Caenorhabditis elegans: one gene and its partner. The protein of the gene in region 1 purifies or fractionates together with the protein of each later gene. This does not show direct contact. Each region holds a gene or a part of one and is shown on either strand. Other genes may lie near its edges. The genes, in order: pqn-51 and C32D5.10.

Region 1 (16,047 bases):
AATAAGCTGAAACAGATGTAAGACATGTAGATGTGCAATTGGTTGTAGCAGCTGATATCGCATAAGCACTCTAGAACTTTTTTTTTTAATTTAACAATTAAAATTATTTAATATTCCTAACCAATTCATATAAAGCAGTAGCTGAAGCATTTCCATACGAGAAAGATGCACCACCATTGACCAAAAAATGACTGTAATACGCTGAAACTTATCAAGATAACTTGATTTTCTGTTCAATCAAATATTTGTTCTTACGATCTCCTTCAGATCCTACTTGATACTGAGTCAACGTTGCCAATGAGCTTGCTGAAATAGAATCAGTGAGTAAAGTTTCAAGTGGTGTCAGAGTGCTCCATCTCGGTATGATCTACATAGATCTACAAAAAACGCGGGAGCTGATTTCGTATGGCTAATAACGTGCTGACGTCACATATTTTTGTGCAAAAAATTCCTGCATTTTTTTGTAGATCAAACCGTAATGCGACAGTGTGACGTTTATTATAGAATTTCTCACGAATTGTGTCCGAAGTACATTGCGAGTTGACTTTATTGATATTATTCACTAGATTAAATATTAGAAACACCAATGAGAAAACCAAATTTCTCATTGGAAATTTTTTTAAAGTGAAGGCATTCTGGAAGAAAAATGCCGATGGGCTGCCAGTCTCTAGGCGACGATCCGCTGGTTTCTAAGCGACAAATGAATAATTTTAACGATCGTGTTTTGTTGTTGTGAAATTGGAAACATCAGCATTAAATATTCCAAATTTTTATTCGAATTCTATAAAAAAGTTCCGAATTCATAAGGAATCGACAGTTTATTCACAGATTCTTCAGCTTTTCGTCGTATTTCGTCCATATTTCCATGCTCAATTGCAAGACGTTTGACGTCACGATGTTGTCGTTTCTCTTCAGCTTCGTGTTGCCGAATATGAGCCTGAAAAAAAATATATTTAAATTTTTCCGTTGAACCAAGAATATTCGATGCTTACCGCAAAATATGGAGCTCTTTTATACTTTTGATGACAAATTGGGCATTGGAAAAGAATTGGCTTCGGCAAACACCCGTCCTCGTGGCGTTCCAAATTGAATTTCCGAGAGAAACGTTTGAAACAAGTCTGAAATATATTTGGCATATTAATTTTGGAAAATTACAAAAAAACTAACCCTACAACAATAATCTTCAGTATCTCCTAAAAGTTGAGCAGCCGTCCGGATTCGCTTCGTTTTTGTTTCAGAAGATGTTGAAGGTGTTTCCTTTTCATAGCGAAGTGCAATTACTCGTTTTGTGCGCGGCTGAAATGAAAAATAAAGTTAAAATATAAATATTTTCAAAATATGGGGGCCACTATGGCCAAATTCATTGGTGGGCGGCAATTGCCGTTCGGCAAATTCGGAAAATTGCCAATTGGCCAGAAGTTTTCAATTCTGGCAATTTGCCTATTTGCCGAAAATGTTCAATTCTGGCAAATTGCCGGGTTTGGAGGAAAATTCAATTTCGGCAATTTGCTGATTTGCCGGAAATTTCAATTCCGGCAATTCGCCGATTTGCCGAAAATTTCAATTTCGGCAATTTGCTGATTTGCCAGAAATTAAAAAATCACTTAAGATTCAATTTTTTCCATTTATTTTCAGAATTAAATCCAATTCTTACCAAAGAAACACTATATCTAACATGTTCTGTATCAGCTGGATGGTCTCCGGGCAATTCGACGATATAAGGTGTTTCGTATTTCTCACGATTCATCAATTCTCGATTGAATCTCGATTTTTGATCCAAAACTCCTCGGATAAGCTTTCCATCTCTTAGAATATATTTTTATTCCTTTTTTGTTTTTAATTTTCAGTGAGTACCTTGAAATCGCCGTGATTAGAAGTTGAAATCGTTCCAGATGCTTCGTTGTTACGATTTTTCCACCTTCACCGATAAATTTTCTGAGAATTTCTTCTCGAAAACCCGGCAGCAAGTCCATCTGGAATTGAACCTAAAAAATATTGAAAATTTGAAAACCAATTGAATACAATATAAGTATAGATCTGAAAACTTCATCCATTCATAAATAAGTACTAAAACTGGAGAGGAATTGGTGGGGTACATTTTATAGATGAATTCTACGAATGAAGTTGATGAACTTTAAAAAAAAGATAAACGGCAAACAAATAGAGAATATTGCAAAGAGAATTATCGTAAAATTCAATGTTACAGACCTTGGTTTAAGGAAGAAGTTTTAAGACAGAAATGATGTAAGAATCGGGAATCACTGATGATGAAGGAAAATTGATGAAAACGGGGCGGAAGGGCGGAAATCACAGTGCATGAGACTACACTTCAGGCATATTGTTCATTGGATCCTGGACTAGCGGGGACATGAGAATGGGGGAATAATTATTTGGAAATAATAATGATAATAATGTTAAAGATGTTGTAAATCGGTGATCGAATCACCATTCAGCTTCTCCGGTACACTTCTGGAAGCAGTAATCCTTTTTGTCGATGTGCATAATTCCATCCTTGAGCTGGAACTTCCACTTGGTACGGGCACGATTCACCTGAAAATTGCAAGATTCGACAATTTAACTTATAAAATAAATAGAATTAACCTTCTCGAACTGGCACATGACAACATTGTCCGCCTCGAATAGCATCGTCAAATCTTCATCGTCTGATTGATCATCTTCAGAATTCAATGGTTCCTCTTCTGCCACTTGATCTCCATCTTCAACTTCACCATTTCCCATGCGATCAGCGATTCTTCGAAGTGGATCATCATCATCGTCAGGCTCATCTTCACTGGAAGAATCAGACATTCCACCGCCACCTCCGTCGAGTTGAAAGTCTTTCAATAGTGATCCCAAGACTTTCATCGCTTTCTTCTCACTTGCTCCACTTCCACGGACTCTCAATGAGCACTTTGTCTTTTTTGGAGCAAGTTTTACAGGTCCACTAGGTCCTTCTCCGTCTGATTCGGATCCCACATTTCCGTCCATTTGATTCATATGGGTAAGTTGATTGCCCTGTTGAGGCTGCTGCTGCTGAGCCTGTTGTGGCTGTCCTTGATGAATAATTCGATGCTGTGGAATCTGATTCGGCATAATCGACATTGGAATATTCTGACCATTTGGTTGCTGCACAACGAACACTTGTCCCGGTTGAAAGTGAATTCCACCTTGAAATTGTGGATTGAACATGCGAACTTGAGATGGATGTTGCTGAAAAACGATGGTTTAGTTTTGTGGTTTACGTAGGAGTCGTGCAAGATTCTTGACGATTTTGAATGTATAGACCCAAAATGGGCTAAAAAAAACGAATTTCATAATGAAACTGCGAAATTTTTGAAAAATTGCACTGATTTCAGCTAAAATCTCGAATTTTTCCCTTTTTCCGTGTCACATCTGTCTGAAATTGAATTTTTTGGAATTATCATCCCTATCATTTAATTTCATCGATTAAGGTACATTTAAAGCCTGTCGGTTACCTATCGGCTTTAAATGTACTTTAATTGGCGAAATTACATGAGATAAACCACCCAAATCTGCAATGAAGGATGATAATTTCAAAAAAAAATCAATTTCGGACCGATGTGACAGGGAAAAAGTGGCCAAAATTCGAGATTTTTGCAGAAATTAGTCAATTTTTTGAGCAGTTTCGTTACGAAATTTGGAAATTTGTCCTGCTGGAGTATTAGTCGCATTTAAAAAAAAACAATAATTAAATTAAATAACCGTTGGCTGGCCAGTGTACGCCATTCGAATCGGAGCATCTCCAATGTGTGCTGCGTGAAGAGCCGACAAAGCTCTCACTGGCTGCTGAGCAACGGGTCTCTGTGGAGGCATCGGATTCGGACGAACGGCACTCGGCGGTACGTGATGCTGTTGGCGTGGTGCCGGTGGTGGTGCATTGCTCTCCAAGTCGACACATCCACTCGAATTCACTTTATCCTCCCATTCTTTCCTGAGTTGAGATAAAACGTCGACGTCGATGTTCTCATCGAGAAACGCTTCTTTCATATTGGCGATAACATCGGCCATAACCGACTTGTACAGCTCGGCGATTCCATTGCCGTGTGCCATGTTGGACGTTTGTCGTTCCTGTTTTAAAAAAAATGAATAGATAAACTTTTCCGAGATTTTTCGTCTGCGACACTTCCAACCATGTTCATTTCATAAAAACCCCCATTAAGAGTGGCAAGAAACAGGTTTCTCGAAGCGGGCTAGTCAAAATGAAAAAAAAAATTGAGAAAAATCGATTTTCCAACGTGACGTTACGTTCTTAAATTTGCGTAGACGATTTTTTGAAGAAATTATTATTATATGGTGAAATTGCAAAAAATATGACTCATAATCGATTTTACATACCTTCTTCAAAAAAAAAATGTTTTTTTCCAATTTTTCACATTTTCAACACGCATTTCATTACAATTTTCATGTTTTATACCACACACGGGGCCCTCTGATCACAGAAAGACACACTCGAAGAGAGCGAAAATTCGACTCACCAATCTGGCAGCAAGCAGCGACGATCGACTGAGTATATATACGCCGCAGCGGGAGGGGTGACGTCAGCGACCAACAGTGATGTGCAGGTTGTCGACGAGCGCCAATTCAAACAGGATATTTTGTTGTCTCGACGCTCTCGAATCTGAATGAACTATAGCGGTTGAAAATGAAAATAGAATGGGAAAACGGCGAGAGAGAGGAAACGTTTGCGGCGGCAGTTTCGAAATGGAGAAAAGGTACGCAAGCATCACAATTGACGCGAAATTGCGGAAGTAATTTTTGTTTGAGCTTGTGGATCGAGACCCGAAGAACTCGGGGGATGTCCAATTGGGGGGATCACGGCCTCCCGCACGAGAAATGCGCACACTCTCTCGCTTTTTGTTTGCGCGTTTGCGGACGACCACCTTGCCTCGCCGCCGCTTTCAACAGATATTCATGAAATTGAGCTAGAATCGCTATTTTTGAACGAAATTTCGAATTTTTTTCACAGAAATAGTGAAGTTGATAAAATGGAAAGTCGGAACTTACAATAAATAGTTAATACGATCTGTTTTTCAGTGATTTTTAGCAAGAATTAGTTGGAATTAGAAGAATTCTGGACAGAAGAGCACTTTTTTAGATTGAAAATTGTTAAATATAATACGATGAGTGTATTTGAACGGTTTAAATAAAGAAAATATGTACGACTGTGGCTTCGGGCTGATTCTCGCTCTTCACGTGGCAAGTGGATGTATCGTATGGACTTTGAACAACTACAACTTTTTTCGCGTTGGAGATAGAAACTAGCGATGAACTGACAAAATAAACATCACAAATAGGCGAGCATTTCCACAGTTGACAATTTTTTGATATCTCGTTCCACTAAAAAGATACAGCTATGATTTGATGATTGAAGTCCCAGATACGGTACCCTCTCTTAAAACCATCAAATCTCTGTTCTCGTTGAAGATACAAAAATATGTTCAACTGAGAAAATGTTAAGCAGATAAAAAACAACATTTACCAGCAAGAACTACATTTCTATCTACAAAAATAATAGAGATTTTGACTTTTGAAAATTGATCATCTTAAACTGGCCATGTCAAAAAATCCTGAACATTAAAATTGAGTTTTCTATCGGAAACATACTCTATATAAGATATCTAACAAATTTGTAGTTGACTACTTTCTTCTAATGTCTTTATTTTTTGAGTTATGAACTGATCTCTGATTTTCTCATAAATACGGCTTTCGGGGCCTGTAAAAAATTTGTCTTACTAGTTAGAAAAATATTGTCAACAGAAAAAATGTTCACAATGTCAAACTGAACATTTTGTTAGTTGACAACTTTTTTGTAACTTTCATAGGAGCGGAGATAGGAGCATCCAAAGTGTGAGGGCGCAGTAGAGTGGGTACTGTACCAAAGCACCCAACCTTCTAGATCAAATAACATCTTTCAACATTGACGGATTTTTATGTGTGATATGTCAAAATGTGCGTATTAAAAATTAGAACAATCGTATTGTTTCCGATTTTTGACTCCAAGCCAACTATTTCCTGAAAATTGCGAAAAATCTGAAAATTTGGTCATTTTAGTACTGTAGTCAACCTTCTAGATCAAATAACATCTTTCAACATTGACGGATTTTTATGTGTGATATGTTAAAATGTGCGTATTAAAAATTAGAACAATCGTATTGTTTCCGATTTTTGACTCCAAGCCAACTATTTCCTGAAAATTGCGAAAAATCTGAAAATTTGGTCATTTTAGTACTGTAGTCAACCTTCTAGATCAAATAACATCTTTCAACATTGACGGATTTTTATGTGTGATATGTTAAAATGTGCGTATTAAAAATTAGAACAATCGTATTGTTTCCGATTTTTGAAATCTTTCATTTTACGGTCACTAGCTTCCGGAAAGTGCTGAAATTTTGAGCTGTAATGTTTGATGTCACAAAAAGTTTCTCTCATAACTTATTTATTGGGGTTTTTTTGTATTAACTCATTAATTGGGAATATATTGAATACATTTTACAAAAAAAATTTGGGAAAAAATCTTAAACTTGCTCGTTTTAGAGGGGAATGTGTAATATTATGTTCACTCTCTTCACTTATTTCAATGACAAAACTATTCTGTGAAATTTATGCCAGACTGTAGAGGACAGTACTCTTTATCCGTTCCAATTGTTTCTTTTCAGAAATATGCAATTTCCTTTCTTCCCGACTCCTTCTAAGTGAGGTGGTTGAGCGCGCACTCTCGCCATGCTGTGGAGGTGAGAGACGCAGAGACCGCCTTTTTCTCTGCGCTCTCTCTGCGCATTTCACGTGGTGGAGGCCGTGGGGGATTACCAACTCGGGGGATTGGCCCCGCCCACAGAACCGTGGCTTGCAATACGCCCATTTCTGCAACTGCCGCACGGTTTTAAACCTGTATTTTTCTCAATAGAGCGAGAAATAACAAGAAAAAATAATTTTATAACCGTGCGGCAGTTGCAGAAATGGGCGTATTGCAAGCCACGGTTCTGTGGGCGGGGCCAATCCCCCGAGTTGGTAATCCCCCCAATTGGACATCCCCCGAGTTCTTCGGGTCTCTGTGGATCCACGTTCGGTGGAATTAAATAATCTAAAAACATAAATATAAATATTTTCACAATGTTTAAAACGGAAAACCTGAAAAAATACGAATAGCCACAATTATTTCCGTGCAATACTCGAGCTGCAGGATTTACAAAAAATAAAATTTCTAAATTGACTTTGAAAAAATATTTTCCAGTCTTTTTTTACTCGAATAAATGAAATTTAAAACTGAAATCGAAACTATTTTTAAATCAAAAATTCCTGAAATTGTTTCAAAATAAAAAATAAAAGCAAAAAAAAACGCGCAAAGTTCGAATTTATTTGGTCAAAAATTAAAAACGAGAAATTTTCGAAAACAAATTTCTCAAGCTAACACATTTCGTGACGGACCATCGTATGAAAATCCGTGCGCCTTTGAAGGGTTGGGTCTCGCAGCGCGTTTCAAGTTTACTGTAGAAAAATTCCAAGTCTGAAAGTTAGCTGTTTTTCTTTGTTTGTCCGTATTCAAGGGATTTAAGTGGACGGAAAACTATTTAAAAGTTTAAAAAATAAATTTAAAAAAAAAGAACAACTGATTGTGAGTTCCTACAAAAACTGTAATCTGTATCCGATTCCTTTTTTCCAGACTTTATGGCTGTTCTCCTTCGTCGTTCCATTTTTTTTTCAGAATTCAAACTCAACAACCCACCGCATTGATACCCGAAAAACTTGACGTACTAAACAATAATCGGATTGGTGGCAATCGCGGAAAACTTCAAATGCATAAATTTTCAGCACTCGTCGTTTTTCCACCTCTTCTGCCATTCTGCTTCCATTCCAAGTTTTTATTGTTTGTTTGCACAATGTGCAACTTCACGCCTATATGATAACATCTGTTTCCTCATTTTTTTTTGTACTTTTTCACGATTCACCTTTTGTTTGATTAGCCTTTTTTTTGCATATGCAATTCTTGAGTCAATAAAAAAAGTTTGAAAAACTATTTTGAGGTAATAATTCCCTAGGATTATCAATTTCATCGACTATGACTGATCTTTCCATCCATGTAAGTTTGGCGCTTTTTTCAGTTGGATTTTCGAGTCAAAAGTACGGTACTCGGTCTCGACACGAATAATTGTTTTTAAAGTTCAGAACGGCGTGCGCCTTTAAAAAGCACTGTAGTTTCAAAATTTCGTCGCTGTAACAATACACAAATCCATGAGAAAAACTTTTAAAAATCAATGAAAATTTCGAAGTTTGAAATTACAGTAGTCTTTAAAGGCGCACATCTTTTTCGCATTTAACAAAAAATAGTCATGTCGGGACCAGCTACCGTATTTTTGTCGAAAAATCTCTCTGCTTGTCTAGAAATGTTTGAATTAATGTTTGAAATTTGTAGATAAATAATTAAATTGATATAGTAACTTAAATAAAACGAAACTTCAGTTTTTTTTTTCAATTATTCCAAATGTTTAATTTCGTGTAGGATCAAATAAAGTTGGCATCCGAGTGGGGTTACAACCAAGAAGAGATCATCTCCGCTCTGAAAGCCAACTCGAAAGAAGGTTCGAAAGAATTCGAGCGATTCGAGAACTTTGATGTTATGCTGGACATTCTGAATAAAGTGACAGGGAAAGGAGACTCCCGGTCGAGCAGGAAACATAATAGTCCAGGGTAAGCAGGTAAAGGCCAGGCAGGCAGGCAGGCAGGTGTTTTGCCGCCTACCTAGTAAATTGAGCAGACTTTCCATTTTTTGAAAATTTTGGTTTTCAGAGATTTGATGTCAAGCTCTGTGACAAGTTTACACCCGCATAGTTCCAAGTCTCATCGAAATCTTTCGGTTGGGAGATCTTCATCGTTTCATTTGTCAACTCCAAGGCAAGTATATTACCGATACGCAATAATTTGCGACTTTTGCGCCGAAAATACGGTCTCAGGTCTCGACACGACATTATTTTTCCAAATGCGAAAAGGTGTGCGCCTTTAAAGATTACAGTAGTATCAAATTTTTTCAAAATTTGTTAAAATTCACATTATAGTTATATTTGAGTTTAGAAAATAATACATTTAGATATATTTTTATCTACGTGATGTCAGGATGTCTCATTGCGGTTTGATCTACAAAAAATGCGGGAAATTTTTCCCAGAAAATTGTGACGTCAGCACTCTTAATCATGCGAAATCAGTTGAGATATCTTCGTCTCACCTCCCGCATTTTTCGTAGATCAAAGCGGAATGGGGCTTTCTGACTCCACGTGCTTATCGTAAATCAATGAAAATTCCGCACCAACAAAAATTTGAATGTACAGTAATCTTTAAAGGAGCGCACTTTCTGAAATTAGACACAAACTTGTCGTGCCGAGACCGGGTACCATATTTTTGTACGAAAATCGCAAAACTGCTTTTACAATATATTTTGTGTCAGCCCCTGCAAAAGTCAATTTCGAGGTAAAGTCCTAAAAAACCTGAATGTAAGTGTGCACTTTAGTTGACATTAAAATGATAAAATTTGTCGCAATTTTTCAAAAAACCTTTTTTTTTACTATTTTTCAAGTTCAGAAGTGTCTGCAAAATATTGTGATATACAAAAACTGCATCTTGAAAGTAAAACTAACACAATAAATGTTCCTGACCTAATCCTCTTAACCTCCAGAAGTACCCGCGACTCCCACGACATTGTTCGCCTTCTCGCCACACTGGAAAGAGAAAAAGAACGTGATCGAAAGGAGGTCGATAGTCAATTCACTATTCTTAAGGTAGTGACCTTGTTTATGAACTTTCTCTCTCATAACTAGTTTGAGTCTTTTCAGAATAGAATAAACCATTTAGAAAATGAAAAAGAACAGTGTTTGTCAGAAGTTCAAGAATTGAAGCGGCTTCTGGAAGATTCGGAGCAAGATTTGAAAGATTGTAAAGATGAGATGAATAGGCTGATGGAAGAGAGAGTAGAGACAGCTGATGCACTTGATAAACTGGTTGGTTACTTGGAAATTGACATTTTTTAACCTTTAACTATAACATTAGCTCTCTAGACAATCCAAAACTACCGCCAACAACAAGAAATTCACGACCAAAAAGAGCTGTCTGAGCATCGTAAAAAAATTTATTCTGAAGAGAAAGCACGAAAAGACGAGGAGATTTTGAACCTTCAAAAGCAGAAGACCGACGTCGAGATGGAGCTGGAACGGAAGAGTAACCTGTTGGATGAACAGACTAATGTTACAAAACGAATGGAGGAGAAAAGTTATCAATTGGTTGGTTATTTAACAGTTATATTAAGGAATATTTTAATTATTCCAGAAGCCATTGGTGCTGCTCGATGAATTAACAAAGAAACACAGTCAACTTGTCGACCTTTCAACTGAATTTTTGCCAAACATCAATGCTGTCAAAATGCTCTACAAAGAATTGGTTAGTTGAAACTTGCTATATTCTGTACGGGTTAATTATCACATTTTTATCAACGTTTTCAAAACTTATTGGCATTGTTCAACGTAAAAATGTAAAAATTTGATTTTATTACTCATATTTTAAGCGCTAATACTAAAAAAACAAATGTAGATCAATTCAAAAGAGTAGCGTCTGTGGGTTTATTTACATCTAATGGGGTTATTCAAGTATTGTCGGAAAATTTAAAAGTGTAGAAAAATTACGTCACAACTGTATTCAAGTACATAAAAATATGTATTTAAATACATATGTGACGTCAGAAATGTATTTAAATACATTCTGCTACATTACTTGAATAACCCCATAAATGGCACACAACTGTTTCAATACATCGAATGCAACTGTCATTAATTCATAGAATATTCCTTTTTTTGAAAAATATTTTCAATTTTGCAAAAAAAAAATTCAAATGAATGGCCATGTAGTTTTAATTTTTTTTCGGTTATTTTAATTTTTTTGTTTTAAATTTTTTTTTGAAACACAACAATTTTAAAATTTTCTGATATTTTTCCGCATGTTGAGCTAATTTTAGAGCTTCAGTGAATATTTTTGGATTATTAAGTTTTCAATGGAAAAATGTCTGAAAAATTTACAAATCATGTTCAAAATCAATAATCCCAATAAGGTTATCCGAAAAAAAAAACGCGGAAATGTTGAAGCTAGGTTATTAATTTTGGCATTAAATTCGAAAATAACTCAGCCAAATTTTTGAACAAACTTGAAAAAAAAATCATAAAAAATTTTGGGGCGAAAACCCACAGACGTAGAAGTCGTCAATTTCCGGGAAAAAAAAACAGTAATTCGTCAAACTTTCGTACATTTTCGGAGAATTTTTTCGCATTTTTAAAGTAAAGTAAATAATATTTTAATATTTATCAAATTGTGTTTTATTTTTTGACACAATCGCTTAAAACTGCCAAAAAAAAGTTTCCGCACTTTATCCTTGATCTGAAATGTTTTCCAAACATTATTTTGTCATTGCAAGCCCTATGTAATAATATTTTCAACTATTTCGATTCCTTTTCTCATAGATTTTTATTTCAGTTTGAGAGTTTCCCACAACTAGAGACCAATGTTCACGAATCAAAACTCTCAATGGAACGTCGTGTCGAGGAAGTCGAAGAGCAACTTCGATCACGTAATCGCGATTTTCAACGTCTTCAGGAGAAGCTGGTAGCCGAGTGTTGCATATGTTTGGCAACAAAACCATCAATTGTTTTCATGCCGTGTCGTCATCTGATCACATGTTCCGGCTGCTACGATGCAAGCGATTTTCGAGAGTGTCCAACGTGCAGGTCGACAATTGAAAATTCAATAACAGTGTTCATGTGAACAATACAACTAAACATTTATTTTGTTTTCATAAATGTTTTGATCAATTGGTAATATATGTAGTAGTGTGATATTACAAAGTAGCACGAGATAGAATTAAAGTTATGGTATCTAGCAACAAATATCTAGATCCTAAATTTTGAAAATAATGCGATATTGTTTTGAATCGTGATGAGATTATCGGAATGCACAACTTTCAGTTTTGCATAAAATAATGGAAAATAGATTTAAAAATTTTCAAAATTTTGGATTTTTCAAATTTTGCAAAGAAAATTTCGAATTTCGGATTAACCCAGGTAAACTTTTTTTGGAGTTTTCGGGGCAAATTAAAATTAATTTTCTTGGTTTGTTACCTTCACAAACGGACACTATTAAAAAAATCAGTTAAATTTCCCGAAAAACGGGCAAAAAGTTGGTTTCTTTTACAAAATATTGTATTAAAAATCTGAAAAAAATTTATAATGTTTTTAAAATGTTTCTTAACAGTTCAAATCAGTTTCACGACCCATTTTAAATGATTGAAAAATTAAATTTTTCAAAATTTTTTGTGATTTTTTAAAATTTTGCACAAAAAATTTTGAATGACTGATTAGCCCAGGTTAACTTTTTTAGAGTTTTTCGGCAAATTCAAATAGATTTGCTTGTTTTGTAGAAACTGTAAAAAATCAATTAAATTTGCGGAAAAATGGTTAAAAAATAAGCCTTTTTGCAAAATATTTTTTCAAAGTATCATAAAAAAAATTAGAATAATTTTCAAATGTTTTTCAACAGTTCAATTCGGTTTCACGACCCTTTTTTTTCGATAAATATTTTACAATATTACGTGGACTCTAAAATTGGATTTTTTGCCATATTTCACGCGTTTGGGTCTCACCACGCTTCCAACAAATTACTGTAATTTGTGTCATTTTATGGTAAGTTTATATAAAGTTTAAAGCTAAATTATTTTTGAAATCCCCTCAAAAAAATTGTAGCAACAAATTTTCGTTTATGTATCGTAATTTGAAACTTTTGATGCAATTTATGGTCATAAATTGTTACAAGTTACTATAACTCATGGTCAGCGTGGCAAGACCCATTTTCCCGTTTTTCAAGAATTCAAAAACTCTCCCGCAATTTCCATATTGTTGACTAACAACAAAAAAGAAAAGAAGCGCCTCTCGATTCCCTCCCCATCGCATAAAAATAACGGGCAAAGGAATAAAATCGAATAATCGATCAAACCGAAACGAACAAAAACAGAAACGGGACAGATAGATGGGGAAGAGAAAAATGAAGAAAAATCAGTATTATCACCGTCACCAAAATTCACTTTTTTTTTTTCTGTCCCTCCATCTTTTTCTCTTTTTACCTACTCTCTGTCAAAACATGTCAAAACGACAAAAACAACGTAGTACTCGCACCACTCCCCTCTTACGTAGTACTATCAATTTCAGATGGTTGAAGAGGTAATCGGTTTTCGATCGAAACGTAGCATGCTCTACGCAACATTTTACGCCAAATATCAGGATATGGAGGATATGGCTACAACGACACCAGGGCTCATGGCAGCTGAGAATCCATTTAATTTAGATAATATTGGAGATGGATTCGGTATGTTCTAGAAATATCAGTAGTTTGCATGTCTTTAATTATGTAGCAGGTGTGGGCGTCAATTAAAGTTTTTCGGCGATTTGAAATATATCGCGTTCAAACAAATTTTAGATCAAGAACTTAAAAAATTAGCAAAACCCAATTTTTGAAGTAATTGGAATTTTTTCCGATTACATATTCTACAATTGCCGATTTTGAAATTTTTGGAAATTTCCGCTCAGCCTAACTAGTAAGCTTTGCTCATTCCAGATGTGTGGACACGTGGCGAGACACAGCTTCTAGTCCTGGCTGTAATCGTTGTAATTCTTGCGTTGATATTTGCTGCAATTGTTGCAATGGATTGCGGGAGAAATGGACCACCGATGATGAGATCGGGAACACTTCGAGACATCGTATGGAACAATGCTAATCGGCGAAGAAGGAATGATTCTCAGAGAAATGAGACGGGAAGATCTGAAACTGGAAGATCTGGAACTGACAACTCGTTTGGAGATTTGAAAGGTGCATTTTTGTATAACTTTCGCATGTTGGAACCCCTAAAGTGACGGTATATGAATTTTTAAACATAGTTAAAATATTGAACTAAAATAATTTTTTTTGATCTACGGCTTCCAGAAAAATAGGTAAAAACTGAGTTTCCCCGATTTTAGCCTCGAAAAAATGGTACATTTTTTTGTAAAACCTAGTTATGTTTTTTCCAAAGATTGACAGTACCCAATGTCCGTTTAATTTTATTTTCAACACTTCAAAATTAATATTTACTTTAGTTAGCAGTTTTTCGTGTAGACACAAAGCAGATACAAAATTGGAATTGAAGATATTTATATGTTCCCATCGATGACGTTTTTAGAGAAAATTAGAACAAAATTCAAGCATTTCTGCAATTTTGAAACAAATCCCAAACAAAAAAAACATAACACGCAATTATTTTCTCATGATAAATCAAACTTCCAGATTCTTTCCAATTTAACAATTGGATCAGTTGAATAAAATCTAAAATAAATATTTGACGAAACAAAATAACAAACATTAATTCTGGAGCAAGAAACATCTGTTATTCATTTTCTCATTTTACAGCCCCGCCGCTCAGCTACTTGGCGCCTCCGCCATATGTCGATCGCCGTCAAGATTCATCGCTTCCCATATAACTTTGAAATCTCAATATATTTTTTTTCTCAAACTAATTTTAAGGCCAATTATTCATTCTTTGTCGTGTTTTTCTATTTATTATTTTTCATTTTTCCAGTGTTGAAAAAGCCAAAACTATTGCAAGATAGAATCATTTCCATTTTACTATTGCAGGGTGTAAGTATATTTTTGAATAATTATTGTTTAAGTTTAATAATTACCTGTATATTATATAATAACACATTTTATTTCAAATGGCGTTGTTTTGTTGGAATTTTGAAGATTTAATTTTGTTCAAGTTGGAAGTGTTTTGCTTCAAAAAAATCCTTTTCAAATTTTCAGAAAATCGCCATTTTTCAAATTTCGGCAATTTCGGAAAACGGACAATTCGCAGACGATTTGCCGATTTGCCAATTTGGCTATTTAACAATTTAGCAATTTGTCAAGCCTGCCCAGTTGTCAAATTTGCGAAGATTGCCAATTTTCCAATAGACGGATTTGCCAAATATGCCAATTTTCCAAGTTTGCTAAATTTTCGAGCCTGCCAATTTACAAAGTTTGCCAAGTTTGCCAATTTGTTAAATCTGCCAATTTGTCAAGTTTGCCAATTTGCCAATTTACCAATTTTGCCAACTTACCAATTTTGTCAATTTGCCAATTTGCCAAGTTTGCCAATTTATCAAGTATGCCAAGTTTGCCAATATACCAATTTGCCAAGAGTGTCAAGTTTCGCCAATTTGCCAATTTGATTTATTTTCTAACTCCCTGATCTACGCATATCATCAACTAAACAAGGATTTTCTTAATTGTAAAATTATTAGAAAATGGTACTGAATCACGGTCAGATTCAAGATTGTACACAATTGCTTGAAAAATAAAACCAGAAATAATTTTGGTGAAGACTTCAAAAATTAACAAAACAATAGTTCCTTTTTTAAACATGCCAATTATCATCAAACCAGTTTGCAAATGACCACACACGTCAAGAAACATCGACCAATAAAATCAGATGTTAAGTGGCGTTCACCTCCGACCTTTCTCCATTTCTCTAACAATCTAGGTCCTCTCATCCCGCACTCTTTCCCTCATTTACCATTTCTTATCTAAATGTCATCGACCAACAAATATCCCTCCCACTCTAACATTATCCGTATTCAACCTATATTCCATTGAAAATGTGATGATATTCTGAAATTAATTATCAAGTAAAACTTTTCAAAAAAAAAAATTTATTTGGAAAACCATAATTATTTTCAGAAGTCTAGAAGACCAACTGGTTATTCATTAAATTCAACGATGTTGAAGAAGCCGTTTCTATTGCTTGCCTCTGTTTGTGTTGTAGTAGGTACTTTATTTATTTTTTATCGGAATTATCAAAAAATCTCAACTGAAAATATGAAAGTTCAACTTAACTTGAAAACTGAAAGTTTCCAACTTTCCCCAGACAATGTTACAAGTCCAATTGTGGTTCCAAGATTGTTTAAAGGTATTCGTTTTTCCACCACCCAAAAT
Region 2 (16,047 bases), on another chromosome or scaffold:
CGACTGACTTTCATCGTACACTATGGAATTGATATCTAAAAAATAAGATGACGTGGTGGTTGGTTAACCAACCATGTTAACCAACCAACCATGTACAACTAATCAAAAAGTAAACGTATAATACCCGATCGCAACGAAACAACTTTCGTGTTTATCAGGTCACCTGCTGAGAAACTTGCCAAATTTTTCAGTGTTTCACTACCTTTTGGGTCGACCGACATCTGCGCGGCACTCGTTGCTGGTTGTTTCGAATTCGAATTCGCCGTGTTCCCCATCACAGTCAAGTAATGATGGGGAAACCGATGAGATAACGAATACACCGTTCAAAAGGTAAAGGTCACGTTTTCGATCGAATTTTGCGATCAAATTGAAAAAAATAAGAAGAAGAAGAGATGGCAGAACATACACGTGATGAATTCAAAAAGGCAGAAAAATAGAAAAAAAAAGAGTATAAACACCACTTTATGAATAAAGCCATGCCAGTTTCTAATAGCAACGAAGGGAAAACAACGAGAAAATGGATAGAGGAAAAAGGGAAAAGGAGAAGGTGTAATTATAGAATCGATTTGACTGGGAAGCAGCGGCGACTCGTAGATTTACAATAGTAAGATGTAGAGAAACGAGACTCTTTTTTTAATCTCAAAAATATGTATTTAATTATACATCTTGAAAATTTTGCAGATTTTTTTAGAGTTAGCCTACAGTACTCGGTCTCGAAACGGCCAAAACTATTTAAATACCGTATCCGCAAGTATTTGTTTTTAATTTTTCATGATCTCCTACAATTTTCCAAAAATGTATCGGTTTTTCCTTTAAAAATGTGGAATTTTAAGTGAAACTATTACAACAGATACAGGTGAAAATTGCGAAACACTTTTGGGTGCGGTAGCTGAAAAGTTTCCATCGTGCCGAGACCGGCTACCGTATTTTCGCATTGAAAATCTCAAACTTCTGCAAATGGGTAGTACCAAAATTGTGTCTCGAAAATGATAAAATATGCCAGAATCGAATCAAAAATGATTCCTAAGTCAACGTTTGAGCCCTCTTATGACATTTTCAGACGATGACAACTAGAATAAACTGTCATTTGACAGATGACTAATGGATACAAAGAGCCTTTTTGCCAAAAGTGTGTCACCATTTTCGAAATAAAATTCTCATTTTTCTCTATACTTTGTTCAGAAATCTACAATGATGTTTACGTAATACAAATGTGACGTCAATTCTATACAGATGAAAAAGTGATTTCGCAATGTGTATTGCTAACTGTTGGAGGTATTCCATTCGCTGGCCGAAAATAACGATGAGCATGAACATGAATTTGTTTGTGTCTTCTTCGTTTATTCATGAATCAAAAATTTGAAAGTAATAGCAAAAAAATATCAAAATCCGAGAGAAAACATGATTTTCTGGGAGGGGAGAAGAGCAACTTCGTAGACAATAGTTTGAATAGAAGTCACTACTCGGAACCGTCATACGAGAAAAATGAGAAGAAAATGTGAAGGAAATACAGAATTATTACAGAAAATGAGAAGATTTTTTTAAAGGGGCTTTGGGTTTCCATTAGAAGTATGAAATTTCCATTGTACAAGTATACACATTCGTCGGCGGATAATACATGACACTTTATTCCTTCTTTTCGACCTCTCCTCCATACACACTTTCGTCACTGTAGGCGATGTAAAGGAACAAGTCTTCCTCGTGATGGTCCTGTAATAAAGAAAAGGGTTAATTAAATGAAAATAAACGACTGGTTAGTTACCTGGTAGAGTTGTCCCATTGTGGTCATGGTTTGTGGAATGACATTGTTGACAAAGAAGAACAGAGCATCTTCTGGACGAAGTTGGATGCGTTTTCTGATGAGGAAGTAGAACTGTCCAACAGTAAGATCGGATGGGACCAAGTACTTCTTCTTATCCAAGTCATGGAGCTTTGACTTTGGTGCTTTCTCAACAATCACTGGAATACGGTCTGGGTACTTTCTGCGGATCTTGTCTCCTTCGGCACGACGCTTCTCAAAGTTGTTCTCCTCCTTGTAAGCCCACTTCATTTTGATTCGAAGGTTAGTGTGAAGAGAAGGTTACTGGAATAAAAATACTTTAAATCACAGAAAAATCATAAAAGAACCATGAGAGAAGAAAGGTGTAACAAGTGAGAGTGAATGAAGGTGACATCACATGGGTTTTGAGAGATTGACCGATTCGATAACACATTGCGAAATCTATATAAAATTGACGACGAGTACTAGTAAGGCAAAAAGAGCATGAGCAAGAATGGCCCGTGTGCAAGTGAGAGAGGGAGTGTGCGCGCACATCGGTCATATGAGAGCGCGTAGACGCAGGAGACATCCTATTGATTTTCTATGTTTGTCTGGCCTGGTTTTGTTGAGATGCAGAGAAACAGGACAAGTACAATGCAGCTGTTTAGAGGTTGTCGGGGAAACTGTAATTCTGGGAAGACTGAAAGTCGATCGATATATTAGTAACATTTATCCAATATTCACTAGTATCCATAACCAGTTTCTACGAATATTCTTAGCGCATTGTTCCAAAAAATTGAATTCTGAAAGACTTTAGTAATCAACTATTAACTAGATTAATATGACCGTTCAATAAATAATTTTGGTATGATTTAGCAATATTTTTAGATAGAATTGTTAAACCGTACATTTAATAGTCAAACTTGTGAAACATTTCTTAATTTCAAATTTCAAATCTAAAAAAGATTTTGATTTGAAACCGGTTTTTTAAACAAACCAACTAAAATTACAAACTTTTAAATAAAAAAGTACTGTCGCTACCGACGTCGCCAGAAAGTGAAAGAAATGGCAGAAAGTCGCAAAGAAGAGCGAGAGGCAAGACTGAACACACCAAGACGAATGGCACTAGCTAGAAAGAGAGAGAGATGAGAGAGGGGCGGAGACGACGAGACACCACGACTCAACATCATGTGACTGTGTCATACGGCGGCGAAACGAGACAGCAGGCAGAGGAGAGCAAGAGAGTATAGGGAAACATTGGATGGTTTGAGAGAAGTAGAGCAGCATGGTGTAGAATCATCGGGGTTTCAGGTGCCGATCGACAGATTGTTTGTTCTTAGATTCTTTTGATAGGAAATTTTAAACGTTAGAAATGATCAAAAGTGATAAAAGGTTAGAATAACAACTAGACAACAGTTGGTATTGAGTATGTTTTGCTATTAAAGGAACATAATATGCTAAAACTAAACGAAATAAACGATATATAACTACTATATCCATACAATAATATGTAGGTGGAAAGTGCATTAGCGACATAATTCTAAAATAAAGAGTTGGAGCAATGAGAGCATCATCCACATTCACAGCTGTCACCGTGACGTAGAATGTAATGAACTAGAAGAGGGCATTCAAGACCAGCTGGTAAAACGCTAGAACTGACAATATAAAACAAATCAATTAAAAGATCTTAAAGACATTAGGGTGCACTCCATGTAATCGATCAGAAAGGCAAAAATATAAAAAGGAACAAGATAAAAATTTGCCGGAAGCAAACCGAGAAAAAATATTAAAAAAATAACCAAACAATAAACCAAAGGTTAAAAATTTATAGACAGTCAATAGTGACGAAATGTTTTACACGGACAGAAGTACAATAATCAGAATAAAGCTATAAATATAAATAAATAAAAAATGATAGCTAACATGGAGAAACAATAAAAATATGAAAAACGCTTTTTTCTTTGAACCGTAAACAACGAAAATCTAAAAATTGCCGAATAAGTTCGCTTGTAGCCCAGGATGGAACATTTGGAAACTTGCTACTACGAAACATCGAAATGTCAGAAAAAATAAAAGTAAAAAAGTTGTAAAAAATTATGATATGCCTAGGAAAAAGTTTGAAAACTCGTCGATATCCGCCTTTTTAATTGATTTAACAGAGATCAAATGTCGATTTACTGTCGCCTTGAAAGTGCACCAGTTCGAGAGAGATCTGTAAAAATTAGTTATGAGACTTGATCTGCAATATGACAAACTTACAACTTGCTAGCTGTAACATATCATCAGGTTTGAACTTCGAAATGTCTGGAGCACTGAAATTGGAATATTACATATCCACGATAAAATCTTTTCAAACCCACCTTGAAGTGCTTGGCATTGGTTTGTTAATCCTGATAATGGCTTCTTGTGCTGCGCCGACAAGCATATTCATTGATTGTGTTAACGGCATATTGTACTTCGCGATCAATTCCTGAACATCGTCAACAAGCCCCTCAGGTAACTGGCTGGTTTTGGCCTTTTTCCAATGATCTTCTAATGGAAATTCGTACTTTCTCTTCCTGTCGGCACTACCATTTGCTACAGGTTTAGGAAGTGATCGATTCGAATCATCAAGAATAATAGTATCATCACGTTCAACAACTTGAATCTCTTCATCGCTATCTTCCTCACTATTTGAATACGTTCTTGGCTCATCACTGTCTTCTCTGTCATCATCATCCACATCGACACCATCATTATCATCATCATCGTCAATTTCTACTACACTGTCGGATCCACGACTTCGAGCAGAACCAGCACCTGCTGAAGATGTCGTTAATTCTGCCCATGGAATACCAGCGATTGGTAATTCTGTAAAAATTTAACTTTTTGAAGAGCCGATCTGAAAAATCTTACGTGACGGCACCGGGAGCGGAGCTGGCCTGAACGGATTCGTAGCATTAGGGCCAAGACGAAGAGGAGCCTGAAAGTAGATGTCATCGTCCTGGTCGGTGTCAGATGATGAGGCAGGATAATGCTACAATGTAAACTTACACTCAACAGGTCATAAAGGGGCGGCAAACTCACTTGCGGTTGTCCTCGATACATGTGTCCCATGGTAGATCCTGAAAATTTTATTTTGAAGTTTTAAATTAAAATAATATTTTAAAAGCATATTATGATAAAAAATTAAATACCAAAAACTCGGTCGAATGGTGTAAAAACCGGGAATCGGCGCGACCTGTGGTTTGATCTATTTTCTTCGGGTTCAAGCTCAATTGAATCGTCGACCGTCACAACATCTGGAAGATACGATTTTTTGAAATTAAGTACAAATATGATTCTACCATTTCCAGCACTTTCACCTCCGCGATCTGTTCTGATTCGATATGTTATGGCACCGCACCACTCCAAAAATGACTTTCGACTGTTAATCAAAGACTTCAGCTCAGCAATAAATGCAATTACAACCCGACATGATACAAGCCCATTCAATGCTGCATCAACTTCTCTCTGAAACATTTCAAACTTATGGTAAATTTGTTTTTGAACTACCGCATTAAGATCACGCGTTCCACGATCTTCAATCATACTGAATATTCTATTGATAATCTCTTCGTCTTTTCCCTCGGCCACATCATGAAGTGTATAAAAATACCAGCTATTTTCATTGTCGACACGTGGTTGCTGAAATACTTTTCATTAGAACACTTTTATGTTTTAATGGGAAACGTTACCGTCTTCGCCGGAAGGGATTTCAACTCGACGCTCAAGAAACTGTGTAAAACTGCTCGATAGTGATCGATATTATCACGGAATTCAGTTTTCGACAGAGAATTAGTTGCATCTGGCAATCCTTCTGATATAACTTGACGCTCATAGATCAATCTTCGGAATGCGGCTTTTGAGACAATTAATGCTTTTGCTGCTCCATGATCAATGTCGTCTCGGAGCATTTGCAGGGAGTTCAATTGTGAGACACACAGTTGTTTCATCGAGTTCAACTCTTCTAATCGTGGCTTCCTTTTTTGACTATCAGATCTACTTGATGTTGCTCCACTAAAAGAATGTTCAAATACAATTTGTATATTACTCATCGAAAACTCTTACATGATCTCGTCAATTTGGTTCATTAGCCTTCGACAACTTCGAATTTTTCTCGACACAATTCTCTTCTCAGTCACAAGATCTTCTGAAGCAGTCGCTGCTGGCTCTCCTTCGGATTTTATTTGCTGGACGGTTATTTTCTCATCGGTTCCTTTCCGTTGGATGAAGCTAACTGGTGTTTTGCACATTGGACAGAAAGGACCGGATCCCTTCGTGAGCCAGCCTACAATGCAATCGTAGCAAAATTCATGGCAACAATCACTCAACGAGGTTGTATCGATAATTCTGAAATAAATCAATTTTTAATTAATACTATTGAATGAACTTACTCATTTTTGCATACCGAACACTCCTCTTCCGGTTCGTCGATTTCTTCTTTAGACTGGGGACTTTCTGTCATGTTACTTTCTCCAAAATCCTGAATTGTATTCTTTTTCAGTGGTGATTCACTTGTGCTCGGAGAATCCATTGAGCTTTTCAATTCTTTTGAGATTTGAAATATTCCTCTAAAAAATAAACTATCGGAAATTTTTTAGTTTCTCACAAATATTTTTCAGTTTGCGCAAAATTTTCAAGTTTGAAAACTCTAACTAATTTTTCCCATATTCTGGTTTGAAATTTCAGTTTCTCTTTTAAAAATTAAATTAATAAATTAAAATTAATATCAAAGAAAGAAGGTAGTCGAAGTAAAATAAAAAAGCCTAAAATGTTGATAAAGATGGAAGCAATCAAATAGATCTCATTGGAGCGCACAAGCATAGTTTTGAGATATTTGAATTTTTATAAGGAAATTTCCCTTAAAAAATGGAAAGAACAGAAACCGGATACAGAGAAAACACTCACAAATAGATTATTATGAAAAATTGGAAAAAAAAATAGTTGGGTGCATCTTTTGGAATTTTCTAGCTTATAGTAAGTTTTGTTATTATTAGATTCGTTGCTCTCAAACAAAACATCTTTCTCAATAAAACATAAATAATAAAAAAACACACAGAAAATACCAAAAACCTGTCTATAAAACAGTTTTCACAAACTGATTCGCTCAAAATATTATTTTAACATTTCATTAAATATTTTAATAAAGTTTTTGAAAAAAGCAGAACACATAGAATGAAAAAAAACGGGGGTTGAGTAACATTTGAATGTACATGTCACAAGGTACAACTAAACAGTGAAGGAAACGGGTTGTTTAAGAAGCGAGTGTACATTTATCCATACAGATATAATGTTTAAGAAACTCGAACAAGATTATTTTTTTAAATGAGCGTATTTCTTGGATATTAACGTCTATCACGACGAGAGTTTGTTGATCTTTTGGCTGGTGGTCCCTCGGGTGGATGCCCGTTTTCGGCTGCTGAAAAATCAAATTTCGGTAAAAAACAATTTAAAGTTAGAAATTTACCTCTTCTTGCGGATCTTGTTCGATGAGCAACCGAAATAAAGTCAAGTCCATTATCAGCATCCTCCTGATTTATGGTTGCAACAATTTCCGCAAGTGATCGAGATTCTTCGTCAGATATAGCGGGTGCTGGAGTTGCTGGACGAGGAATTTGTGTCGGTGCATTGCTTGTGCTAGCATGTTCTTGAATTGCTTGATGAGTTTGCTGCATATTTTGGTAAGCTCTGTTGAAAAGTTGTTCCACTTCTTCGATTCTTTGCTCCCGTGGTGGCTGTGGGAAATGTCTTCTCTCCAAAATGCTTCTGGTTCGGTTTAAATGCGCGAAATCATTACTCGTCATAGTTCGCGGCTGATAAACAGGTATACTCGTAGATGATGTAGTGGTTGAATTTAACCGTGGCGAGAGCATAACCTGAAACAATTTTGATGATATTTTATGTTTATATATTTTTTAAACCAACCAATCCAGAATAACCATCAGAAGTGAATCGTCGACTTGTATAATCCGACGATGCAGGGTGACGGAAGAGACTCTGAAATATAGAAAATCTTCAAGTTTTACTTACTATTAAATTAAATACATTCACTTCTTTATAAATTCTCAATAATACTCACCGAAAGCCCTCGTGATCGATTATCAAATTCCCGAACTCTTTGTAGAAGTCGATCTCTTTCGATTTCGCGGCGTGTCTGGGGCCGACTCTCAATCGGCGGAATCTCTTCGTCTGTCGGACGATCGGAATCTAAACGTCTCATTGCAGATCTCAGCGTCATATGACTGCGAGAAGTTGTCGGTTGCTGTGAAATAGGTAAAGTTCTAGTAGTTTGTCCAAATGTTACAGGCTCAACTGGAACCGGTTCTTCTGTAGTTGGATATCGAACACGAACATCTCGATCACGCATCATGTGGTAGGCTCTCATTGACAGCGGTACCCGATTTGGCATTTCCAGCATTTGTTCGTAGTATGCTCGTGCCAACGATTGTTCACGTGGATCTTCGTCAGGCATTGGCGTTGGAACTCTTTCTTCTGGCGACTCAGAACGATCACTATCATCATCGTTATTCGTGGCACGGTCCGTTCCATCAGTATTTGAAGATTGACGAAGAAGACGTCCTGCCACATAAGTATCCATCCAATCATTTGTACTTCCGATATCACGATGAATTTGATTGAAGAGTGCTTCGAATCGGCTTTGAGGATCATCACGTCCCATAGAGTTATAATCAAAGAAGTTACTCGAGAAACTATTGTATATAGAATCATAGTAAACTTCGTTGTAGAATTCTTCGATTGTTAACTTTTCAATTGCAATAATTGCATCCAAATGATCGTCCAAAAATTGAATATGAACTGCACTAACAGGCGTTAGAATTTCATTGAGTTCTCTCTGAAAACTAGCAGTTTTAAATTAAATTTCCTGTAGACGTACCCGGAATAAATGATCACCCGATGGACGACTCAGCATAAGCTCGTAAATTTGAGCGGCATAGCGCTGTTTTTGCTGCATATCGATGCAGGAACCTAGAAACTTTGTTCTCCATTTGTGGCCGGCAAGTTTTGGTTGCTGAAAAATTCTAAAAATTTCAAGAAAGTTCAATAAATTTTCTTACATTTTGGAAAGGTATAGCGTCGAACTCAGCTATCAAAAAATTCGTGATAACATTTCTAAAACGATCCGGTTCTCTGGCAATATCAGATGGCTTGATTTTAACTTTCTTCAAATCAGGATACATTACTTTGACTTTGCTTGTGTAAACCATTCGACGAAACGTAACCGTATTGAAAACAATTGACCTGAAATCTTTTTTTGGTAATATATTCATTCAATTAAACTGATACTTGTTGATTCGAGCCTGCTCCGTCCTAAGATCCGATAGTGATATCTCTGCCTTTTGAATATGCTGTGTTACGATAGCGGCTAACTCAATCAATGCATTCTGGAAATAAATATTTAGTCTGTTTATATAGCGTGCTAATTTTTACCTTCAAGATTTCATCTGGTTCCTTCGATTCTTCGATACCGCTTCTGAAATATAGAACGTTTTGTTGGAAAAGCCAAGCAAACTCACATTTCTGATGATAACAAGCCTACAACCTTGTAGGAATGCATTAAATTTCTGACAACTAGTCTCCTTTCGCTGAGAAGTTGAACTCGATCTGTAGGCGTAAGTGACATATGCCCGCTTCGATATTCTTTGATTGCAATCCTGAAACAGAAAATTATCGTAAATATAAATAAAATAAAAGTTCTAACTCTTTTTGTCCTAGTTTTTGCTCTGAAAAATCATACGACACTTTATCGACATCCTTGCGACACATTGGGCATGAAGGGCGTAGAGATTGGCAGACCCATTCAGAAATGCAGGAAAAACAAAACGAGTGATTGCATCCTTCGATGCGACATTCTTGAGAGAATCTTAATTTTAACAATTAGTTGTTTGTTTGAATTTATATCCAACCTCGTAGATAAACAGATTGTGCACTGCAATTCTTCAACCGGGTTGTTTGAACTTGTTGATGGAGATGGTATGACAGGTTCCACACCACTGTCCCCCATAGTTTTTCTGAAAGAATTTTTCTTTTATTATTATCACTCATTATAGTAGAAAAATCAATAATGAGCAGTATGACTTTCTTTTCAGAAATGAGGCAAGGACGACCCGAAAATACTGATATCGATTTTCCACTATGACTTAAATGATGAATCATAGCAAGCTATCGCTTAAAAAATAAAAATGTCGTCGGATTTCACTTCTAGAACGATAATATTAACGTGTTTCGAGATTTGGCTATTAATTTCAGAAAAGATACGATAGCATGCTTCCGTGGTATGAAATATCACTTGCAGATTGATAAATTCGTATTGACATTGTTGAAATTAAAGCCAAAAAAGTCGATATATCAAACCACATGAACGAATTCCCAGAAACTAGAGAAAAACGAGAGAGCGAGGGAAGAAGCGAGGCGTTGGCATCGAGAAATGCGTCAGCAGGTTTCTCGCAGGTCCGATCGCAGTCAGCGATGAACATAACTTTTTTGCCATTAAATTTCTCATATTTTAAAATTAGCAAAATATTCGAAGACTTGTGTGAAATAAAAACAATGATTATTCATTAATCAAAAGTTAAATTAATAAATTGGTAAGCCCCGAAGAAAGAAAGAAGCAGAATAAAACAAAGATTTGTTAATATTGAAAACAATGAGCCAAAATTCTGTACAGAATTTTGTACAACAAAGTTTTGTACAAATTTTGTTTCAAATCGTTGCGGACGAGTTTTCAAAAACGCTCTATTGACAATTGTGAAAAACTTCGGCCGTGAACAACACGAGGACAATATCATGAAACAGACGAGCATTCGAAATAAATATATTATTTATAAATACAAACAAAATAAATAAAATAAAGACATTGATGGAATATTTTCCTATATCATACATCTATTTTGAATTTAAAATTTAGATTATCGTATCCCCATAGGCGAAATTTCGCGATTTTTGACACGCCAAATACGGTACTGGGTCTCGACACGACAAAACTTCAACAATTTTTATTTGATAACTTGCAAAGTATTATTTTTAATAAAGCACAATGAAACTGATTCAACAGATTGAACTTCAAGTTTATTAGGATTAATTGGAATTATCCTTGCACAGTTGGTCTCTTTACTGCCTCCTTCGAATACGAAGCTTTGGAGTTCGCGTACAATTTGAATGCCTCTTCTTGTGAGATTTCCGGTTTAGAATTCAATAACAGGCGCAGTTTCTTATTAGGAAATCCAACAGTTTTCTCAAAGAACAAACGGAATGCAACGTGATTTAGAATGTTTTCTGGGATCTAAAAACTCAGAAAAATTAAAAATATTGGTTTATCTGTAAATTGAGAGTGTACCTTGAATCCAAGCATATTCTTCCAATAGTTTAAGTACGAAGTGGCAAATGATGGCCAATAACTGACAGCTACTTCTTGACAGTAATTTGGATTAAGAAAACGACTTTCGAAAAACTGGAAGTTAAAAAAAATAAAAGTTGAATTTGTTTTCTATCAACTTACATCTCTGATTGAATGAGCACAGTTCTCATCCATACAGAACACAATTTCTCCATTCAATCTTTTCGAATTGTAAATTAATCCGAAAAATGATTTTTCAGCGATTGCAGCTAGGTTTCCAGCATATATCTGAGAAAGGATTTTATGATACATAACCGACAAAGTAGAACATATCACAAATAAATAGAAGCTCTCTAAAACTTACAAATTGATGCATTCCTCGTCGTTCTCCAGTTACAAATGGTAGAGCAGAATTCAAAATTAATTCTTTGATTGTGTCAATCTTTTTGCTTTTTCCAAGACCATAAACAAATGTTGGTCTCAAGAAAATTCCATTGAAAGATCCCTTTTTTGCGGCCTTTCTCGCATACATTTCTCCTCGAGTACGAGATTCTCCATACTCATCCAGCATGTAATTTCTTGGATAATCACTAGAATATCAGTCAATTTCACATATTAATGTTACAAATTGACACTTACAGAAACACGTCTTGCGCCAATCCATAGTTATCTTCATTTGGAATTGGGCAATAAGCACATCCGATATTAACCAGGGTCTTGATGTTCAGATTGGTCATTGTGTCGACTACACTCTCACAGGCTACAAAAAGAGAAACAATTATTTGAAGTTTTTTAATACAGATCACCAAGTTTTTCTGAAAATTTCAAAAACTTCGAAAATTCTACAAAAAATTCATCCTCACACCTTTGTAAATATTTTTCAGGTGTATTCAAAGCTGAAAGTTCAATTTCAAAAGATAGAAAATTAGTAGGAAATCATATTTTCATTCATTACCAAGTTTCAAAATATTTTTGTACACTTAAAAGTTTATTTTCACCACTATAATCTTTCAAATAAACTTCATTTCATCAATGATCACTGTATTTGAATGATTTCTGTTTACATAAAAATTAGAAAAATACGTTTTATTCAGATGTTCTAATGGGTTTCTCTTTTGGAACAAACAACATTTTTGGATATTTTTAGAAAAAAAGGAGACTTTGGAGAATTTACTGTAGATTTATTTCTATTTGGAACAAAATTTTACAAAATTTTATAAATCCCATAGTTCATCTATGTTTCTAGTTCTTTTCTGATTCCAAAAGAGCTACTAAAAGCTATGGTATTGCATCTTTTAATATCCAATTCCGTTCGAATCGTTCAATTTCTTGTTTCAGAGAATGAAATGACGCAGAATGGTCAAGTTTTCAACAAGATGTGTATTTAGTTGCTTGTCTATTGACAATTGGAATGTGCTTCTTACAGTGTAACCTTTTTTTTTTCGAAATTTCAAGTTCAAATGGTGGATAGATTTAGGAAAAGGCGAAAATGTGAAATCTCATTTGGAGAAAAAGCAAGTTATAAATTTATGGAGTTCGGAATATTGTTTTTTAGAATTACAATAATTGTCAATAAAGAACTTGAAAAAATATTTTATCACCGCAGGGATTGAACCAGCGAACGTTTACGTGAATGGCAAAATTTTTAGCCACTTGACCACAGCGGCTTTTTTAATTTTTTCGGTAGTAAAAGAGGTGATATATTATTCACTTCTACTGTCATAGAATTTTGGATTTACTCAGTGAAAGTAATTAAAATAGCAAACTTTTTAGATGTTACAAGTTACAAGTTTTCTTGGAAATCCAAGTAGCGAAAAAACTGTACACGAAAAAAGTAATTTGTTTCTGTACTTTGTATAAGGATGAAAAAGAGAGAACCTTACCATTTAAATTGTCTCTCCACATCAGATTATTCTGTTCTTTATCTTTTGAATAAAAAATTGGAAATGGTGAATGAGCACAATGAATTACACCATCACATCCTCTCAATGCATTTTCCAATGATTTTCTATCATTAAGATCAATTTGATAAAGCTTGACTTTTCTGCTTTCATCTGAAAGCGGACAGATTTAGATAATTTTAAAAAAATGGAAATCAAGTAGACTTACCTCTGGAAGTGCTCTGCCGATCTATAATCCGAATTTCTGCGATTTGTTCATTTTCTAGTAATCTCTGAACAACATAACGTCCAACAAGACCAGCACCACCGGTCACGGCGACGGTATACATTGTTCTGAAGTTAAAATGATAGATTAGTTGTCTTATTAAGTGATAAAAAGTTGTAAATTGGACAGGTTTTAGAACAAGTGCAACTGGAAATAAGTGAGTGAATTGGAAGAAAAGTGGAAAAGGAAGAGGAGGATAAAGGAGGTGCAAAACAGGCTGAAGAGGTTCGTTTACGGAGATTCAGATTTCAGTTTAAGATAAGCAGCGACCCCATTCTTCAATTAAGTGTGTAGGCTTAGGATTCTCACGAATCCTATTGGAACGAATGTTTTTAGATTTCAAGGGACGAACATTCTCAGGTGATCAAATATGGGCGGTTGAGAAGAAGAAGAAGAATTGGTCAACGGTCTGACAACTATTTAGAAATTATTCTGATTTATTAGAAACCAGACATTTCAATTCTGATTGAATTTAGTTTGATGTTTGAAAACTGGATACCAATCTTATTTTCGGTTCAAACATGTTTTCATACGTCACAGGTTTTTGAAATTGTTCGACAAAAACTCCAAGGAGAGATGGGGAGAAGTTGAGGTCACACTAATACATGGCAAACATTGAAATCCTTAGATTGGAAAAATGGACACAAAAATGTTTCATCCTAATAAATTCTCAAAAAATTAGATCAAACGTAGTTGAAATATTTGTATTCCCGATATATCTGCCACAATGCGATTAAACTTTTCAACTAAAAATATTGCTGAAAATCTTGTTTTCGTTGCCAGAAGAGTACTGTAGGATTACTGTAGCTTCGGTAAATTCATTATTTTAAAAGGATATAGAGGGTCTAGAGGGTCGGGGTTAGTTGGAGATAGGGTTTGTAAACTCGAATTCTTGCCAGTAAGATGGTATTCAAAGTTTTTCAGTTGAAATAACTATTTTTAAAAGTTTGAACTTTGTAGCCTTCGTTGAACATTTGATCAGCTAGAAAGCGGAGAATATAATTTTGTACTGAATGACCAACATCCTATTTATATGGAACCAATTAAACAGTGTTTGATAAGGTCTTCAAAAAGTTACCACTAAAAGATGAACGTAGGCTACACGGAGGAACTGCAAAGTACGACAACATACCCCTCCAGAACAAGAGATGAACGAATCCAGACTATTCAATATCCCTGCGTCTTTCATCTCTCCGCGCAAAAGGATATGTTGTTAACCACTGGATATCGGAAGAAAGTAGGACATATTCGTTCTACTTTCTGATATTCTTGTGTCCTTGGCGTCAACTTGCTAGAGACGGTGTAGAATCTTACTTTTAGAAGTGACTTCAAGCTAAAACTGTTCTATAATGTTAATTTTTCTTTTCCGATTATCTGCCAAAAATAAATATGGTTTGAAACATAGAAATTTTATTTAGCGAAATGAAGAAATAATTTAAGATTGAAGAAGTGTCACCCATGGAGGAATGATTGGAGAAGGGTTTTGAAGATAGCTCATCACAACGGCAGAGACGGAAAGCCTGAAATAAATTATTGAACATTGAAGAAGTAATCAAAACTAAATATTCGCTTAAAAATATATAAAAACCTTACATGAAGCTGCTGACAATTTGTTTGGCATCATCGGAGGTTCGAGTATTAGCGAACGAAATGCATGAGCAAACCAGAGCCAACCAAGAGCACCATTTCATCTAAATTAAAAATATTTTCTTGAGCAGTTACACAACTTTCTTACTCGGATCATCAATCCACACATGCTGAAAATCATGCCGAGTACATTCATGTACTCTGGAAGTGGATCCTCGCTGATGGCTTGCTGCTGATTTGCAGTCGAGTCGAGTGGTTTATATCTGTAAAATAAAAAGTTAGTTGGAAATCCATGGGAAAATAAAACTTACCGAACAATTCGATTCGTGCGTCGTGGATCTCCATTTTGTTGCATTTTCAAACTAGGAAAGTGACAAGTTTGCTGAAATCGATAGTAAAGATTATACGAGACCAACGAATAATTTATTCGCGAACAAAAAGAGAAGTGGACACATATTATGTGCACGAGAAACAGACATTGACGCGTTTCTCGTGTACGCAGAACCCTTCCTTTGCGTCGATTTGGAAATTTAACTTTTCCTTTTCAACAAAACTGTTTACAATCCCAAGTTCCTCTATTTTTTGAAGAAAATACATTTCACATGAGACTCCAACATGAAACAATAAACTCACAAATAATATCTCGGACGTTCATTACCAAAAGTACTATACATCATTATTACGGTGCACAATGAAAAATTCGGTGGTAGGGAAAAATAATGTTACTTGACTAACAATGATGTAGTCATGGGCTGCTCACGAGCGGTAAAAATCGAAAAATAATTGGGGGATCTGAGCAAATTGCAGCTCAATTGTAGAAAAGAGGTGACTATCATGAGACAGTTGATGAGCATGGGGAAATTTTATATCTTATAAAACCTAATGAAACGATAATTCTTAACCAACGGAATAATTTCTACGGGGAACGAGAAAGGAAGCAAAAAAGAAATACTATAATTTTCGAACAAATGGAAGTGATGGGAAATGAGTCTGGGGGTGAGATTATGCTAATATCGAGAAAAAAAACTAGGAAATGAAAATGAGATTGTTGTGAACGGTGAATTCCGGCGTTTAGGAACGCAAAACGAAAAGGGTGTCGTTGATAGCATTGAGCCAGGAAGCAAGATGATCAGAAGATTCCGCGGCTAGCACAACTCTG

The links.
Region 2: the proteins of pqn-51 (region 1) and C32D5.10 fractionate together in Caenorhabditis elegans (co-fractionation; one large-scale study listed by BioGRID). This does not show direct contact.

The regions. Positions count from the first base shown.
Region 1 is NC_003283.11:5,038,199-5,054,245, reverse strand, and holds pqn-51 (Prion-like-(Q/N-rich)-domain-bearing protein), read right to left. Parts: upstream 4,640-16,047; 5' UTR 4,611-4,639; coding exon of another isoform or gene 4,560-4,610; 5' UTR 4,497-4,559; intron 4,090-4,496; 5' UTR 4,072-4,089; coding exon 3,724-4,071; intron 3,211-3,723; coding exon 2,602-3,210; intron 2,551-2,601; coding exon 2,443-2,550; 3' UTR 2,032-2,442; downstream 1-2,031. Other genes in the region: cwp-4 (Coexpressed With Polycystins), read right to left, coding at 1-70, 122-201, 256-306, 515-608; K11D12.12 (C2H2-type domain-containing protein), read right to left, coding at 782-937, 993-1,118, 1,168-1,296, 1,655-1,805, 1,855-1,973; exc-14 (RING-type domain-containing protein), read left to right, coding at 8,078-8,098, 8,519-8,706, 8,806-8,910, 9,686-9,788, 9,843-10,007, 10,065-10,286, 10,333-10,443, 11,527-11,814; K11D12.8 (uncharacterized protein), read left to right, coding at 13,251-13,407, 13,657-13,908, 14,485-14,555; K11D12.11 (BPTI/Kunitz inhibitor domain-containing protein), read left to right, coding at 15,832-15,880.
Region 2 is NC_003280.10:6,345,637-6,361,683, forward strand, and holds C32D5.10 (putative RING finger protein C32D5.10), read right to left. Parts: upstream 6,352-16,047; 5' UTR 6,315-6,351; coding exon 6,175-6,314; intron 6,131-6,174; coding exon 5,849-6,130; intron 5,798-5,848; coding exon 5,476-5,797; intron 5,426-5,475; coding exon 5,294-5,425; intron 5,252-5,293; coding exon 5,086-5,251; intron 5,041-5,085; coding exon 4,936-5,040; intron 4,864-4,935; coding exon 4,826-4,863; intron 4,722-4,825; coding exon 4,655-4,721; intron 4,610-4,654; coding exon 4,120-4,609; intron 4,072-4,119; coding exon 4,019-4,071; intron 3,972-4,018; coding exon 3,934-3,971; 3' UTR 3,571-3,933; downstream 1-3,570. Other genes in the region: C32D5.8 (protein-disulfide reductase), read right to left, coding at 203-275; Protein lgg-1, read right to left, coding at 1,627-1,710, 1,763-2,050; C32D5.11 (RING-type domain-containing protein), read right to left, coding at 7,126-7,199, 7,248-7,656, 7,706-7,777, 7,860-8,633, 8,676-8,810, 8,857-9,040, 9,086-9,183, 9,230-9,272 and 3 more; C32D5.12 (3-beta hydroxysteroid dehydrogenase/isomerase domain-containing protein), read right to left, coding at 10,887-11,081, 11,136-11,249, 11,298-11,423, 11,500-11,725, 11,775-11,895, 13,019-13,189, 13,245-13,365; K10B2.4 (Protein Asterix), read right to left, coding at 14,737-14,821, 14,895-14,992, 15,037-15,151, 15,200-15,243; ani-2 (Anillin-like protein 2), read right to left, coding at 15,960-16,044.